2 linked regions of the Caenorhabditis elegans genome follow. The protein of the gene in region 1 purifies or fractionates together with the protein of each later gene. This does not show direct contact. Each region holds a gene or a part of one and is shown on either strand. Other genes may lie near its edges.

The links. The genes of interacting proteins can lie anywhere in the genome.
Region 2: the proteins of abhd-11.2 (region 1) and dnj-30 fractionate together in Caenorhabditis elegans (co-fractionation; one large-scale study listed by BioGRID). This does not show direct contact.

What each region holds. Positions count from the first base shown.
Region 1 is NC_003279.8:12,181,604-12,185,357, reverse strand, and holds the start of abhd-11.2 (sn-1-specific diacylglycerol lipase ABHD11), read left to right. Parts: upstream 1-2,103; 5' UTR 2,104-2,189; coding exon 2,190-2,276; intron 2,277-2,329; coding exon 2,330-2,606; intron 2,607-2,662; coding exon 2,663-2,782; intron 2,783-2,840; coding exon 2,841-3,048; intron 3,049-3,754. Other genes in the region: nsph-1.2 (Nematode Specific Peptide family), read right to left, coding at 1,493-1,670.
Region 2 is NC_003279.8:2,719,758-2,723,511, forward strand, and holds the start of dnj-30 (J domain-containing protein), read right to left. Parts: upstream 1,719-3,754; 5' UTR 1,713-1,718; coding exon 1,683-1,712; intron 1,234-1,682; coding exon 913-1,233; intron 1-912. Other genes in the region: Y71F9B.6 (Cyclin N-terminal domain-containing protein), read right to left, coding at 2,762-3,007.

The sequences.
Region 1 (3,754 bases):
GTTTTTGAAGAAAATATTGAAAAAAAAACACGATGAAACCCCGGAAAAATCCAAAAATCAAAAAAAAAACAGTTTTTTTTCAGAATTTTTGAAAAAAAATCGCAAAAAAATTTTTTTTTCTTTAAAGTCGAATTTTTTCAAAAAAAATCAATAGTAAAATCGTAGCGTTTTCAGTGATTTTTCCCCCGTAAACCTACAACTAAACAAAAATAATCCGATCGAAAACTGGTTTCCCCGCAGGGTTTGTGTCATCGGTAATACCTATTGCATGAGGAAGTGTCTAAAAATAGGGCTGAAAATGTCAAAAATGATCTACTGATAAGGTGAAAGTGCTGAAAATTGAATTTTTTACACCTTTTTTGATAAGAAAATACTGTGCTCTACCGACCTTTTTGTATTCTTCTGAACATTATCAATAGAGCGCGATTGAAGATTCACCTCGAATTTTGCGAAAACCCTTGAGCGCCCACTTTTTAATGTTTCGATACATGATTTTGGTGTAGAAATGTAGAATTTTTGAATCAAAAACTAGAAAAAAAATAAAAAGTTCACGACTTTTTTGAATTTTCAGCTAATTTTTAGCGGGAAATTCAAAATTTTTATTCAAAAAATGGAAAATTACCGATTTTTCTAAATTTTGGGGAAAACCTGCTGATGGGAAGTCGCGTAAGTAAAAACGCAAACAAAAAACTGTCTGGGCAATTTCGGAAAATCAAGGAAAAACCAATAGAAGTTGAAAAAAAAATTCTAAAATTCAAACGCGCTCCATTGCACTTGGCTTTCCAAATGCGCGGGAATTCAATTTTAAGCTTAAAATATAAGTTTTATAAAATTTTAAAAACGTTTTAATACTGATATTCGTTTGTTTTAGTACCAAAAAAGTATTTCAAGGCAATTTTCTCCAACTTTTACTCTAAATAACTCTTAAAACGACCGTAAAATAAAGACAGACACCAAAAATGATGGGAAATATGACGAGTAGATTGATGATGAATGAGATAAGGTACAGGACAGAATGAAGTTGTAAATCTTTATGCAGTCAGAGGTCAAATACCTCCGCGGAAATATGAATAACAAAGGGTGGGCGGAAATCGAACGTTTCCGGAAGTTTTTTTTGGAAAATTTAAATGTTTTCTATTACCCATACTGGAAATGTTGCGATTTTTGCGCCGAAAAATACAAAAATACGGTTCCTAGTTTCGAAACGACAAATTTTTGTTAAATGTGAAAAGGTGTGCGCCTTTGAGGATTACTGTAGTTTTGAAATTGTGTACATGCAGATTTTTATCGACTTTTGTGTTGTTTTCGATAAATTTATGATTAAAACCCAAGTATAACAATAAAAACTCCTGGGTTTTATTAAGTCGCGGGAAAAACTACAGAAATTTCGCAAACCCTGGTTTCTCCGTAATATTTATAATTTTTAGCAATTTAAGCTGAAATTAATGGTTTTTTCTAATAAAAATCATTGAAAATTTACTAAAAAGCTTACAGGTGTTCGATATCTCGGTGACAACAAAGAAGCATCCGGTAGGGAGGGGCGAAAAGCTGTTCGGTATACATACATATATGTGTCTATTGACAAAGCTGGCTGGCAACAGGCAAAAACACGTCAAGCGATTGCGGGAAAAAGCAGGGAAAGGCACAGAATTCCAAACTTTTATTGCCATTTTTCAAATTATTTGCCCTGTTCCGCAAAAAACTTTGGGAAAATGGTTTTCTGTAACCTGAAAAGTCACAGTTTCCCATGTAAAAATTTCGATTAATATACAATTTTTCGGCGGAATGTGTACGTCGGCGAGTGTAGTGCGCAGCGGCGGAACCACCGTGTATTGATAATATAAAATTGTTGCTGGCGGAGATTAAAAATGTGTTGAAGACCGCCGGGAATGAATCATTCGGAAAAGGGCGGCCGCACAAACAAAATATCGGTTAAAATATGGAAAAGTTATGATTTGAATAGAGTGACGTCATGAAAATATATGATTTTTTACCGTTTTCTAGCGGAAAAATCATTTATGACAAAATTTTGCAACAACTATATTTAAATTCCCTCTCTTTGCTTTCCCTGTGGATTTACGATAAACAAAGCGCGCTAGCGTTATTTCGGAGTATCGTAGCACTGTACTTTTTATTTATTTTTGTTCACTTTTTTCTGTTTTTAGCAGGTTTTAAAACCGGTTTTCACAATGCTAGTAAGCCGAAATTTAGCGAAAACGATTTCCAATTCAAAAAATGCAAAAAATATTCACACTTCTTGCCGAAAATTCGCACCGGTAAGTTTTAAAATCAGTTTTTTCTCAAAAAACCAAAAATATATATTTTCCAGGTTCCCATGACATACGCCAGCTACTCATCACCAGAACTCGATAGAAATTCTCCTTTAGTAATTGTTCATGGATTATTCGGGCAAAAACAGAACTGGAACTCTGTCGGAAAGGCGCTGCACAAGAAGTTAGAGGCTCCAGTGTATGCGGTAGACGTGCGGAATCATGGAAGCTCACCGCATACCGAAACTATGTCTTATACAGAAATGGCAGAGGATTTAGTATTATTTATTGATAAAGTCAAGGAGGAAACCAAGAAAACTAGGGTTAATTTATTAGGTAAAATTTTGAAAAATTAAAAAAAAAAATTTTTATATATATTTTTTTAATTTCAGGCCACTCAATGGGTGGAAAAATTGTCATGAGGCTTGCAATCGACTCAAAATGGAGTGATCGAATCGAAAAATTGATTGTGGAGGATGTATCACCCAAGGGATATTCCAGGCGGCATTTAGGTCTGAAAAAAATTTTTTTTTTAATTTTTTCAAAAATCCCCCAATTTTCTTTTTCCAGAATTCCGAGAGCTCATCAAAACCATGCGAAACGTGGATCTTTGTCGCACTCGAAAGGAAATTCTCAAGGATCTTGAATCGGCGATTCCAGACTTGGCAATGCGCCAATTTATTCTCACAAATTTGCAGCCGTCGAGTGAAAATGAGGGGCAAATGGAGTGGAAAATCAATATTAATACGATCGATAGCCATGTGGATGAGATTTTGGGGTACTGGAGAGAAATCTGAAGCTTTTTAGCGAAAAATTGACGAAAATTGCCGAAAACCTAGAAATTGTGTTAAAAACTTTATTTTTGCACATTCTGGTAGATTTTTAGCTAAATTTCTATTTTTTGAGCAAAAATTGTCTGAAAAAGCGCATAAATTTACAAAAAAAAAACCATCTAGAAAATTAAAACAATTTTTTTCGATTTTCTAAAAATTGTCGAAAATTTCAAATTTTTTGTTCAATTTTGATTTTTTGAAATATCAAATAAAAATTTGAAATTTTTTTTAAATCTTAATCTCATTTTAGACGGTTTTCTGAAAAAAAAATTGAAAAAACCTAAAAAAAACTTAATTTTTTTCCTATTTTTTAGAAACATTTCAAATTAAAAAAAAATCTCGTTTTTTGTTCTTTTTTTCCTGAAAAATTAATTTGTTTAAGTTAGAAATAGAAAAACAAAAATAGGAAAAAATCATCTACAGAATTAAAACAATGTTGAATTTTTCGAATTTTAAAATATCAAAAAAGGTAAATTTTTCCAATTTTTCGAAAAAAAATTTTTTTTTAATGTTTTAAATCGTTTTGGACTTTTTTTTCTGAAAAAAAGTTTTTGAAATTTTAAGGAAAAAAACTTTAAAAATATTTTGGTTAAAAAATAAAAAACAAACAAATTTTTTTCTGACCTTTTTTTCTTAGTTAAAAATAAAGCT
Region 2 (3,754 bases), 9.5 Mb from region 1:
GGAAAATCCACAAAATGCGCTAGCAAAAACGCGAAACGCGCCAGTAAGCAGTTTTTTGTGCGCTTTCGATGACGAGGAGACTGTGGATTGTGGTTTTTTTTTGGTTTTTTTCAACAAAAAAATTGAAAAATGTATTTTTTAAAATTTTATATATATATATATATTCCCTCGAATTTCGTTCACTTTTCATAATTTTTGTATAAAATTACAATTTTTCTTCGAAGAAACATAATTTTTTGATTAAAATTTGCTTCAAAAATTTTTTTTTTTAATTTTTAGGATACAAACTAATTTTTTTCGTGGTCTTGGATTTTCGAGTGAATTTTAAAAAAACAATTTTTACAAAAAAACGAAAAATTTCCGAATTATATGAAATTTTTTGCGAAACTACGTTTTCTTCACAAAATAATCAAGAAAAAAACGATTTTTTTCCAAAAAAACGTTAAAAAAGTAAATTTTTGATAATTTACTTTTTTTCAATTTTTTGGAAAATTATTTTTAAAATAATACGCTTTTGGTTTATATCAGTAATTTTGTTTTTTTCTAGTTTTTTTTCCTCATTTTTTGAAGAAAAAAAATATAAAAAATAATTGTCTTCAGATTTGTTCAAAAAATATTTTGCGAAAATTGCAAATTTTTGGCTTTTTCTATTTTATTTTCACATCAACATAAATTAGAATTTTTTTTGTTCATTTTCTAAAAAAAAATTTTTTTGGATTTTTCGATTTTCAGTGAAAAACTACAAAATAATGAGAAAAATGGGATGAATTTTTGTGATTTTTCTTTCGTTTTTTTTGATTAAAAAATCGAAAAAAAAAATCCAAATTTCGGCATTTTTTTTTTCCAGAAAAATCCAATTTTTTAAAAAATTTTCTCAGAATTTCCATGCAAATCTTCATAGTTGCTCCGTACCACAATAGCAAGCCGAGCTTTTCCCTCCGTATAACAATCTTTGCATCGATTCAACTCAATCGGATCCTCCATTTGCTTAATCGCCTTCTTCACAATATCAAAAGCTTTGTCAGCACGTTCTCGATCATCTGGATTTTTATCCGGATGCACAAGTAGTGAGAGCTTCTTGTATTTCTTCTTAGCCGCCTCGATATCCGTGTCCAAATCGATTTGGAGCACTTCATATGGGTTAAGGTTCAAATATGTGGAACCGGGCTTCAAAAGTCGCTCGATTTGTTGCTCAGAAGTAAGAGCCGCGTCCTGTTGCTCCGTGGATTTTAGCTGGAAAAATTTAAAAATGTTTTTAAAATTTTTAATGGTTTTTTTCAACTTTTTCAAAAAAAAATTGGTTTTTTTTCAAATTTTTCTCTTGAATTTAAAAATTTTTGAGAATTATTTTTGAATTCCCGCGCATTTTCTGGCCATATTTTGTGGTTTTTCTTTGGATTTTTAAAAATTTCAGCCAAGTTTTCTTTAAAAAATAAAAATTTTATTTGGAATTCGCGATTTTGAAGCCAATTTCAAAGTTTTGGCGAAATTTTATTTTTTTTATAGTTTTATAATTGATAGCCAGCTGAAAAAACTCGCTAAAACTTCAAAATTGGCCCTAAAATCGATATTTCCACATAAAATTAATATTTTTTCGCGGAAAACTGTCTGAAAATTCGAAACATTCCAGAAAAACCAAGAAATGTACACTTTTTTCAAATTTTTTGAAAAAAAAAACTTACATCCTGATAAAATGACTCAAACTGGGACATTTTTTGCTGGAAAAAATTTTTTTTTTAAAATTAGATTTTAGGAAAAATATTAAGGAAAAAAATATATAGACAATAGCGACATTCAACGCAAAAAAATCGAAAATCTGAAGAAAAAATAAGGGAAAAAAAACCAAATTTATTAAATTTGAAAAATGTCGACTAGAAATAATCTCAAAAGGGTCATGGATTGAGTACATAAAAACTAATTGCATATTATTTAAACGCGGAAAAATCCGTATTTTAAAACCAAGTTGCAAACGCGCTCCTCTGCTAAAAGTTGGGTCTCGTTAGAAATGGCGGCCAAATCTAAATATTTTTAACAATTTTCGATGATTTTCACCTCGAAACCAACGAAAAATCATTGAAAACTTTTGAAATTACGGTTTTCTCGCCAATACTTAAAGGTGGACTACGCTCAGTGGGGAAATTGCTTTAAAACATGCCCATGGGGCCACAATGACAGAATATCATGATAAAAAAATTCAAAAAAATTTTCTAGATTTTATGATTTTTTGAAAATTGAAAAAATCACAGTTTTCAACCAATTATTTTTGAATTGAAAATGATTAAAACTCTGATATTCTGAGTTCCGACGACAACAAGCCTGAAATTAGTATATTCACAGTTTTACTCATTTTCAATTACTTTTTAACAAACATTTTGCGTTTGTCTTTTTTATTTCTTTCATTTTCCGAGGAAAAAACATAGAAAATGAAGAAAATCAGTCAAATAACGAGAATAAATAAAATTAATTAATAAAAATAATGCAAGCGCGCTCAATCGAACGAATCCGATTGGTGGAAATTCAAAAATAATTAGGTGAAAACTGTTATTTTTCCAATTTTCAAAAAATTATATAAAATCTAGAAAATTTTTTTGAATTTTTATATCATGATATTCGGTCATTGTGGCCCCATAGGCGTGTTTTAAAGCAATTTCTCCACTGAGCGTAGTCCACCTTTAAGGAGACCCAACTATTATCCGTGGAGCGCGCTTGCACCACGATTTCAAAAAAGCACATTTTTCTGCGTTTACATAATAACAATATTTCACATCTCAAATTGCAATCTATCTACATGTGGTTGAATCTCATCAATTGTTGGCTGAAGCCTGAACTGGAGCACCGAGCAAATTGGAAGCTCATAAGCCAAAAGATCGGATTTCGGCTCGCGGAGCTGATCTTCGGCCTGTTCGATGTACGATTTGATCGTAGACTTCTTGTAATCATTCATTTTAAGGGCGACGAGGAGAGCGGCTCCGGCGACACATTTTCGATTGACTTTTGAGATTAGACCCTGGAAAAAAATTGATTTTAGATTTAAATAGATATGAAAATCTCAAAAAAATTGAAATTTAAAAAAAAACCAGCTTTGATAATAATTATAAACTGATTTTAGCTTAAAATCGACTATAAAATATTTTAAAATTTTTAAAATTGCCTACAGTAACCTTAAAGGCGCATACCCTAATTGCTTTACAAATTTCGCGGCGAGACCCATCCTCCTCCAAATGTGGCCTCCCTGTAACCATTTTCAGATTTTTTCTTGAATTTTCCGACAGTTTCTCAAAGTTTAAGCTTTTAAATAATTTTTTAGACGTAATTTATGCTATTTTCTATTTTTCGTTGCATTATGTCGATAATAAACTAAAATTAAAGTTTTTTGGCCTAAAATTCGCTCTAAAAATTTAGATTTTCTCTGGAAAAAAAGATTTTCGATTTAAATCGATTAGAAACTGTTTTAAAAACTTAAAATTGTCTACAGTAACCTTAAAGGCGCATAGCTTAATTGCTCAACGAGATTCGCGGCGAGACCCATCCTCCTCCAAATGTGGCCTCCCTTTAACCATTTTCAGATTTTTTCTTGAATTTTCCGACAGTTTCTCAAAGTTTAAGCTTTTAAATCATTTTTTAGACGTAATTTATGCTATTTTCTATTTTTTGTTGCATTATGTCGATTATAAACTAAGATTAAAGCTTTTTGGGCTAAAAGTCGCTCTAAAAATTTAGATTTTCAATGGAAAAAAAAGATTTTCGATTCAAA